Callithrix jacchus: one gene and its partners. The protein of the gene in region 1 interacts with the protein of each later gene in a pairwise test. Links are inferred from orthologs where the notes say so. Each region holds a gene or a part of one and is shown in the gene's direction. Other genes may lie near its edges.

Region 1 (3,722 bases):
CAAAATTAGCCAGGCATGGTGGCTCATGCCTGTAATCCCAGCTACTCAGGAGGCTGAGGCAGGAGAATCATTTGAACCCTTGAGGCAGAGGTTGCGGTGAGCTGAGATCCTGCTTATGCATTCCAGACTGGGTATGCAAAAGAGCAAAACTCCATCTCAAATTTAAAAAATATAAATCAACAAAACCACAGTAATATAATTTTTTGTTTTGTTTTTTGAAACAGGGTGGGCCAGGTGTGGTGGCTCATGCCTGTAATCCAAGCACTTTGGAGGCCAAGGCGGGCGGATCACCTGAGGTCGGGAGATCAAGACCAGCCTGATCAACATGGTGAAACCCCCTCTTAAGAAAAAAAAAAAGGAAAAGAAACAGGGTCTTGTTCTGTTATGCAGACTGGAGTGCAGTGGCACAATCAGGCTCACTGCAGCCTCCTGGGCTCAAATGATCCTCCCACCTCAGCCTTCTGAGTAGCTGGAACTACAGATGCACGCCACCATCCCCAGCTAATTTGTTTTGAATTTTAGTAGAAATGGGGTCTCACTGTGTTGCCCAGGCTGGTCACAAATTCCTTGCTTCAAGTAATCCTCCCACCTTAACCTCCCAAAGCCCACACACCTTGCAACCACACAGATTGTCAGATTCCTTTTTTTTTTTTTTTTTTTTTTGAGATGGAGTTTCGCTCTTGTTACCCAGACTGGAGTGCAATGGCACGATCTCGGCTCACTGCAACCTCCGCCTCCTGGGTTCAAGCAATTCTCCTGCCTCAGCCTCCCGAGTAGCTGGGACTACAGGCACGCACCACCATGCCCAGCTAATATTTGTATTTTTAGTAGGGACGGGGTTTCACCTTGTTGACCAGGATGGTCTCGATCTCTTGACCTCGTGATCCACCCGCCTCGGCCTCCCAAAGTGCTGGGATTATAGGCGTGAGCCACCACGCCCAGCCATCCAGCTAATTTTTAAACATTTTTTGGTAGAGGTGAGGTCTCACCATGTTGCCCAGAATGGTCTCAAACTCCCGGCCTCAAGGGATCCATCCTTCCTGCCTTGGCCTCCCAAAGTGCCGATTACAGGCATGAGCCATGCACCCAGCCCCTTTTTATTTTTTTGAGACAGGGCCTTGCTCTGTTGCCTAGGCTGGAGTGCGGCGGTGAGAACATAGCTCACTACAGCCTCGAACTCCTGGACTCAAGCACCAGACTGCTTTACATCACATTCCACACACAGCCTTGTGGTTCCAACCCTGCCTCTGCCACTTCCCAGCTGTTTGCCCCAGCCCAACCTGTCTGGCGCTGTCCTGCTTAACAAAAGGACTGGCCTGGCCGCCGGCCACACCCGCCAGCGCTGAAGCACCAGGGCCTCCGAGTGCCCTAGTGTGGCACGTCTCCAGCGTCGCACTCTCGAACTCATTTGTTTTCCTTAACGAGAGAAGGTTCCAGATTGGGGCAGAACCCTCTTCGCCCCGCCCACGGCCCCCTGAACTCTGCGGATGGGGGGGAGGGGTGCATGGGGAGAGGCGGTCCCAAACGGGTCATTTCCATTAATAGAGACCTCAAACACCGCCTGCTAAAAATACCCAACCGGAGGCACATAAAAGCGCGACCCAGCACCGCGGCCCGCACTTCTCCGAGCAGACGTCCCGGGCAGAGCCAGCCAGCATGACCGAGCGCCGCGTCCCCTTCTCGCTCCTGCGGAGCCCCAGCTGGGACCCCTTCCGCGACTGGTACCCGCACAACCGTCTCTTCGACCAGGCATTCGGGATGCCCCGGCTGCCCGAGGAGTGGTCGCAGTGGTTCGGCACCAGCAGCTGGCCGGGCTACGTGCGCCCCCTGCCCCCCGCCGCGGTCGAGGGCCCCGCAGTGGCCGCGCCCGCCTACAGCCGCGCGCTCAGCCGGCAGCTCAGCAGCGGGGTCTCGGAGATCCGGCACACGGCGGACCGCTGGCGCGTGTCCCTGGACGTCAACCACTTCGCCCCCGAGGAGCTGACGGTCAAGACCAAGGATGGCGTGGTGGAGATCACCGGTGAGCACCCCCTGGCCCTGCAGGGGAGGGGAGGAGGCTAGCGGGGAGGGCGGGGCCCGGGGGTGCGGTTGAAACCCCGGGCCTGGGGAGTTAAAAGTTAGCCCAGCACCGGGAAAAACGGGATCCGTCCGTGATTCCCCTGCTCAGGAATCGGGAGTGCAGGTCGCTTCTAAGGTCGCTTTCTGCTCTGTTATCTCAGCGCCTTGGGAGGCGGAGGCCAGGAGTTCAAGACTAGCCTGGGCAATATAGCGAGACCTCCCCCCCTACCAACTACAAGAAAATTAAAAAGCAACCAAAAATGTTTTAAAAGATCATCGGTGAAGAAATGCTTCTTTCCACGGAACTCTCTCCCCACCCGCAGCCCCATCCGCAGATAAGCGGGTCCCCTGGCGTGGTCCCTGTCCCTAGCCGCGCGAGGGGCGTGCGTGCTCCTCCCAGTGCGCCTGCGCGTTGCTCCCTCCGCCCCTCGGCACCCTGCTCCGTTCCTCCCAAAACTCTTACTCGAACTTTCCGGAAGTTTCTGAGAGCCCGGACAGGCCGGCACGCCCCCACCCCCAGTCTCCTCTGTTAATCCCTGCCAGCCTGCAGTCCTGGCTGCCTCCAAGCTGGAGGTGGGGCCTCTGGCCTGGCGGGGCCGAGAGTCGGTCCCCTTTCCCTCATTCTGATTTTCCTGTCCCCCGAAGGCAAGCACGAGGAGCGGCAGGATGAGCACGGATTCATCTCCCGCTGCTTCACCCGGAAATACTCGTGAGTCCTGCCGCCAGGTCGGGGTGGGTGGGTGCCGGGGGCTAGGGAGGAGGGCACAGGGACCCACCCGAAGTGTAATGTAACGTTCACATTCCCTCTCTGCACGTCCAGGCTGCCCCCTGGTGTGGACCCCACCCAGGTCTCCTCCTCCCTGTCCCCTGAGGGCACACTGACCGTTGAGGCCCCCATGCCCAAGCCAGCCACACAGTCCAACGAGATCACCATCCCTGTCACCTTCGAGTCGCGGGCCCAGCTTGGGGGCCCAGAAGCTGCGAAATCTGACCAGTCTGCAGCCAAGTAAAAGCCTTAGCCCGGATGCCCACCCGTGCCGCCGCCACTGGCCATGCCTCCCCCCCCACCTGTGTGTTCTTTTGATACGTTTATTTGTTTTTCTCAAATAAAGTTTGAAGCAACCCACCTGTCACTGGCTCAGACCCTGGTGTTTGTGGAAGGAAGCTTCGGGCACCTGCCATTCCCTGGCTTACACTAGCCACCTTTGCTCAGGGTGTGCTGGGTGCACAGCCCCGTGCTGGGCCATGTGGGTACTCCCGTGTAGGTTGCTAGGCACAGGCTAATTCACATCCATAAAGACAGAGAGGTCCTATTGCCCGGCATTGTGGCTCAGACCTGCAATACCAGCACTTTGGTAAGTTGAGGCAGGAGGATTGCTTGAAGCTGAGAGTTCAAGACCAGCCTGGACAACACAGTGAGACCCTATCTCTTAAAAATAAAAAGCCAGTTGCAGTGGCTCATGCCTGTAATCCCAGCACTTTGGGAGGCTGAGGGGAGCAGGTCATGAGGTCAGGAGTTCGAGACCAGCCTGACCAACATGCTGAAACCCCATCTCTACCAAAAATACAAAAATTAGCCAGGCGTAGTAGCATATGCCTGTAATGTCAGCTACTCAGGAGGCTAAGACAGGAGAATCACTTGAACCTGGGAGGCAGAGGTTGTG
Region 2 (3,655 bases), on another chromosome or scaffold:
CTTGTGTAGTATCCATTTTAATACCATTGGCAGAGGTGAAGGACTTCAAATAAATATATTTGGTGACTTGTTTTTAGTATTAGATGAGGAATCTGAAATATTTTTCCCTGTCTTTTCTATAGAATACTTCAAACATTGTGCAGAAAACTGAGGCTTCCTCAGGCTTTTGACTTCTGTCACTTAGCACACCTAACTCCAGGCTTTGTTGGTGCTGATCTGATGGCACTGTGCCGAGAGGCAGCAATGTGTGCAGTCAATAGAGTCTTAATGAAGCTACAGGAACAGCAGAAGAAAGATCCGGAAATGGATGATTTGCCATCTAAAGGAGTCCAGGAGGAAAGGCTGGGAACTGAGCCCACTTCTGAAACACAGGTGTTTTCTCTAAAGGCACCTTCAAGTGTCCATTTAATGTTCTTTGTGTTATCTTACGTTGAAGTAAGGGTCAATATAGTTGAGGTTTATTATTTCTTGTTTTATTGGCATTCAATCTATAAGATAATTATCAGTTATACCCACAATGTGTATAATTTCAAAAATGTGAGTTGTTTTATGTTTAGTTTATTCTGAATAAATTTATTTTACAATAATGATTATGAAATTCTGGAATGGTGTTGACAGACTGTGGCCTACCCACCCACCACCTGTTTTTGTAGATTAAAGTTATATTGGAACACAGCCATGTTCATTTGTATACTTGTCTGTTTCTGCTTTCATTTCACGGCAGAATTCACACAGGAGTCTGCAGCAGAGACTGTGGCCCACAAAGTCTACAGTGTTTACAGTCTAGTCCTTTACAGAAAAAGATTGTCAACCCCTGTTTTGGCATTGGCGTTTAATTATATCTCCTGGTTAGCTTTTGGATGGTCTGTTGACACAGCAATATCCAGATCTTAGCTGCAGATAGCTCTGGCGGACAGTCATGTGAATGAGGGGACATTTATCAGTCTAAGATCAATATTAAATTTTTTAGTTTTGTGAGTCATGAAAACTCAATATATATAGCATTTTATAGCTTGCACAGATGGCTTCTGCGTTATATAATTTGATCCCTGTGACCTTATATAAATATCATTACTTTCCCCGTTTTATAATTAATCAAAGGCACTAAGCTTAAGAGAGAGGCTGTAATTTGCCCAAGGCCATACAACCTCTACTTTACAGAGCAGGAGCTTAAACACACATCTTCTGTTCTCAGATAATTTGTTTTTTTCTTTGTCATTTGAAACTGCAATTACTTCCGTAAAATATAGCAAACTCATTTCTTTTATAATATTGCATGGGATATAAAACCATCAGATTTCATTAAAAAATATTGCATATAAATTAATATTTTACAAGTTGAATTAATTGGTTACCTGTTTTTTAGACTTGTCTTTTCATGTTCCCTCACAAAGCAAGAAATCTGCCTCTTAAATTTAAGATTTAATGGTAATAGGAAAGTTGCCTTGCCTCTACATAGTTTATAATCCATCAAGGAACCATATTCATGAATTATACTACCTCTAGCATATCTTTGTTTTAATTTCATCAGAATTCAGCTGATGAATTTCATTGAATATTTATAAATGAAACATGGGAAATATCATGGTTGCTGAAATAAGTATTTGCCAACTGCTTATATTTGCTATGCTTACCCCTAAAAATAGTATCTAGAAATCATTCTTATATATTTAATTATAATTATAATTGGTGTATCTTTACTTGATCAGAGCATATGATCCTTTAGAGTAAAATGAACATGTCTCATGTCAGAGAGAAAATTATTGAAATACGTAGAAGTTCAGGATAGATTGCAGAAATACTGCAGTAATAATTTTTTCAAGTAGAAAATGTAACTTTTCAATAACTGTTGTGGTGGTTTTTTATTTTTTTCCCCCTCAATTGTTCCCTTCAAGGATGAATTACAAAGGCTGCTGGGGTTGCTAAGAGACCAAGATCCCCTCTCAGAGGAGCAGATGCAAGGACTGTGCATTGAACTGAATGATTTCATTGTTGCTCTATCCTCAGTCCAACCCTCTGCCAAAAGGGAAGGCTTTGTCACTGTCCCTAATGTGACATGGGCAGATATTGGTGCCCTGGAAGACATTAGAGAGGAGCTCACCATGGCAATATTGGTAGGTATATCAGCTGCCAAATATTACTGGCATGTCATGGATTAAGGACCAGAGATAAAGCTCCGTGCATGTGTACTAGGTTCTGTGTCTAAACTGACTTGAATATAACACTTTTTTCAAGTGCCCCCCACAATGGTTTTTCTTTTGAGATCCAGTTTATTTGTTCATTTTTTAAATTGATGTATCATAGTTGTAAATATTTTGGGGGTGCATATGGTATTTCGATACATGTATTAAATGGGTAACGATGAAGTCAGAGTAATTGGGATATTTGTCACCTCAAATGTTTATGTTTTCTTTGTGTTGGGAACATTACACTTTTTTCCTTATAGCTATTTTGAAATATACTTTTTTCTTCTAGCTATTTTGAAATATGCTTTTTTCTTTTAACTGTTTTGAAATATTATTTCCCTACTGTGCTATGAAATACCAGAACTTACTGCTCCTACCTAACAACCTAACACCAAACTCGTGTGTGTGTGTTATTATTTTTTTTCTGAGAAGAAGTCTCACACTGTCGCCAGGTTGGAGTGCAGTGTGTGTGTGTGTGTGTGTGTGTGTATTATTTTTTTTTTTGAGAAGTCTCACACTGTCGCCAGGTTGGAGTGCAGTGTGTGTGTGTGTGTGTGTGTGTGTGTGTGTGTATTATTATTTTTTTTTGAGAAGAAGTCTCACACTGTCGCCAGGTTGGAGTGCAGTGGTGCCATCTCGGCTCAGTACAGCCTTCACCTCCTAGGTTCAAGCAATTCCCTGCCTCAGCCTCTCGAGTAACTGGGACTACAGGCACGTGCTACCATGCTCCACTAATTTTTTTTTATATTTTAGTAAAGACGGGGTTTCACCATGATGGCCAGGATGGTCTTGATCTTCTGACCTCATGATCCACCTGCCTTGGCTTCCCAAAGTGCTGGGATTACAGGCGTGAGCCATCGTGCTCAGCCTGTGTTTTTTTAACCCTTTAACCAACTTTTCTTTATCATACTCCTTCCTCCCTGCTTTCCGTTCCCAGCCTCTGGTAACTATCAATCTGCTCTCCATCTCCATGAGGTCCACTTTATTGACTCCCGTTATGAGTAAGAATGTGCAATATTTGCCTTTCTGTGCCTGGTTTATTTCAGTAACATAATGACCTCTAGTTCCATCCATGTTGCCGCAAATGACAGGATTTCATTCATTTTTGTGGCTGAATAATATTTCATTGAGACCTATTTTATGCTGATCCTTTCGGTTGTGCTTTATTTCTATAGCAGTGAGTTTAAACAGCAACAAAAAACTTATGCTTTCAATCAAGACCAAATTGTTTGACAAAGACTTTCTGAACCTGATAATACTCGTATGGGTCAAGGCAGTTTTAATGCACATGAAACTTTGGATTAATTTTTATTTACTTTTTTTTGGGTGGGGGGAGGCAGAGTCTCGCTGTGTCACCGAGGCTGGAGTGCAGTGGCACCATCTTGGCTCACTGCAACCTCTGCCTCCCAGGTTCAAGCGATTCTCCTGCCTCAGCCTCCCAAGTAGCTGGGATTACAGGTGCACACTGC
Region 3 (2,544 bases), about 150 Mb from region 1:
GCAAGACCTACGGCCCCGCCTCTCCGTTGGGGACGTGAGACGTGCGACTAGGCGCGCGACGCGGACTGCGCATGCGCCTTCATTACATCAGCCCGCTGCTCCATGCTGCCAACGGGAGCAGTGGAGAAGACGCTGTTCGCCGCTGTGTCTCCCGCGCCTGTTAGGCGCAGCCCGCCCGGAAACCCAGAGACGAAAGGATAGCGGAAGTGCTCTCCTCGGCTGTATGAGTAGAAGCAAGAGTATCTTCTTCCCGCCAGGCAAGTACCCGTAGGAACCGGGCCCCGCCCCCTTCCCGCCCTACACTCTCATCCCCTCTCCCTGGGCGGAGGTGAGGACCTCCTTGGCTCCTCTAGTTCTGTCACTGAGCCCCTGCTAGGCCATGAAGCTCGTGAGGAAGAACATAGAGAAGGACAATGCGGGCCAGGTGACCCTGGTCCCCGAGGAGCCCGAGGACATGTGGCACACTTACAACCTCGTGCAGGTGGGTGACAGCCTGCGCGCCTCCACTATCCGCAAGGTACAGACCGAGTCCTCCACGGGCAGCGTGGGCAGCAACCGGGTCCGCACTACCCTCACTCTCTGTGTGGAGGCCATTGACTTCGACTCTCAAGCCTGCCAGCTGCGGGTTAAGGGGACCAACATCCAAGAGAATGAGTATGTCAAGATGGGAGCTTACCACACCATCGAGCTGGAGCCCAACCGCCAGTTCACCCTGGCCAAGAAACAGTGGGACAGCGTGGTTCTCGAGCGCATCGAGCAGGCCTGTGACCCAGCTTGGAGCGCTGATGTGGCAGCTGTGGTCATGCAGGAAGGCCTCGCCCATATCTGCTTAGTCACTCCCAGCATGACCCTCACTCGGGCCAAGGTGGAGGTGAACATCCCTAGGAAAAGGAAAGGCAATTGCTCTCAGCATGACCGGGCCTTGGAGCGGTTCTATGAACAGGTGGTCCAGGCTATCCAGCGTCACATACACTTTGATGTTGTCAAGTGCGTCCTGGTGGCCAGCCCAGGATTTGTGAGGGAGCAGTTCTGCGACTACATGTTTCAACAAGCTGTGAAGACCGACAACAAACTGCTCTTGGAAAACCGATCCAAATTTCTTCAGGTAAAACAATCTTACCCAGGGATAGTTAAGAACGGGCAGAGGGATTTGTATAAACTACTACTAAAGTTTTAGAACTAGGAAAAATGAGAAGAGAAAGTCTTTTACTTAGCTGAGATTATCATGAGATAATGAAGTAAAAAGAGAATGTTAAATGACTACGTAAACTTTGCTGAATTCCTTAAACATATAAAGCCTTGTTAGTGCTTTTGGCTTTAAGCCTTTGTGGGCTGATTAATGGGTGTTCTAAGAGATTATTTTGCCTAACTTTTGTAATTGTGATTTTAGGTACATGCCTCCTCCGGACACAAGTACTCCCTGAAAGAGGCCCTTTGTGACCCTACTGTAGCTAGCCGCCTTTCAGATACTAAAGCTGCTGGGGAAGTCAAAGCCTTGGATGACTTCTATAAAATGTTACAACATGAACCAGATCGAGCTTTCTATGGACTCAAGCAGGTAGAGAAGGCCAATGAAGCCATGGCAATTGACACATTGCTCATCAGCGATGAGCTCTTCAGGCATCAGGATGTAGCCACACGGAGCCGGTATGTGAGGCTGGTGGACAGTGTGAAAGAGAACGCAGGCACCGTTAGGATATTCTCTAGTCTTCACGTTTCTGGGGAACAGCTCAGCCAATTGACTGGAGTAGCTGCCATTCTCCGCTTCCCTGTTCCTGAACTCTCTGACCAAGAGGATGATTCCAGTTCTGAAGAGGATTAATGATTCAAACTTAAAATTGAGACTATCTTGTGTCTCACTCCTAAACTATTACAGTACATTTCTCAGCATCCTTGTGACAGAAAGCTGCAAGAGTGGCACTTTTTGATTCACACAGGGATTCTTATGTATTTGGTTACACTAGATATTTTGTGATTGGCAAGTCATGTATTTAAACAATAAACTAAAAAATAATCACCACGTACTACCATTTTTATTAATTAATTTTGTATAGGAATAATGAGTTATTTGTAGTACTTGGAAACAGAAAACGTGTATTTAATAACATTGCCTATGCAGTATGTTGTTTGGGATAGATCATGAAATTTCATACTGCATGCTTTGAAACAGTTTTCCTTAGAAAAAGTATTTGCTACCTTATCCTCAGTTTACATCATTTATTTTAATTCTGCATGGTATTCTTGCATTGCATTTAATGATCCCTCTTCTCCCCACCTCCACACACTGCATTTTTTTTTAATTTAAGGAGTTTTACTATTTTAAATGATTGCCATGCAATTAATAGACTCAAAGACAAGTTTTAAATATTTTTCTTAAAACATGTTAAACCAGTCACGTTGACAGGAAATGCTTGGTTTTGTTTTGTTGTCTTTAGAATTAGTCATATTTGATTTAGAGGGTCACTTAATTCGTTGTTTTTAGATTTTAGAGCTTTGATCTGCTAGGGATTGTCAAAATAATCTTTTTGAGGCATCTTTATTTTT

The links.
Region 2: the proteins of HSPB1 (region 1) and NVL interact in binary tests that used the Homo sapiens proteins (3 or more experiments, as listed by UniProt). The link is inferred for Callithrix jacchus from reciprocal best matches to the Homo sapiens genes HSPB1 and NVL.
Region 3: the proteins of HSPB1 (region 1) and PELO interact in binary tests that used the Homo sapiens proteins (3 or more experiments, as listed by UniProt). The link is inferred for Callithrix jacchus from reciprocal best matches to the Homo sapiens genes HSPB1 and PELO.

Annotation. Positions count from the first base shown.
Region 1 is NC_133503.1:11,063,976-11,067,697, forward strand, and holds HSPB1 (heat shock protein beta-1), read left to right. Parts: upstream 1-1,616; 5' UTR 1,617-1,656; coding exon 1,657-2,020; exon of another isoform or gene 2,021-2,461; intron 2,462-2,703; coding exon 2,704-2,767; intron 2,768-2,878; coding exon 2,879-3,068; 3' UTR 3,069-3,188; downstream 3,189-3,722. UniProt on the Homo sapiens protein: Small heat shock protein which functions as a molecular chaperone probably maintaining denatured proteins in a folding-competent state. Plays a role in stress resistance and actin organization.
Region 2 is NC_133520.1:4,688,930-4,692,584, forward strand, and holds part of NVL (nuclear valosin-containing protein-like), read left to right. Parts: intron 1-122; coding exon 123-372; intron 373-1,895; coding exon 1,896-2,114; intron 2,115-3,655. UniProt on the Homo sapiens protein: Participates in the assembly of the telomerase holoenzyme and effecting of telomerase activity via its interaction with TERT. Involved in both early and late stages of the pre-rRNA processing pathways.
Region 3 is NC_133503.1:157,029,660-157,032,203, reverse strand, and holds the end of PELO (protein pelota homolog), read left to right. Parts: 5' UTR 1-379; coding exon 380-1,105; intron 1,106-1,390; coding exon 1,391-1,822; 3' UTR 1,823-2,024; downstream 2,025-2,544. UniProt on the Homo sapiens protein: Component of the Pelota-HBS1L complex, a complex that recognizes stalled ribosomes and triggers the No-Go Decay (NGD) pathway.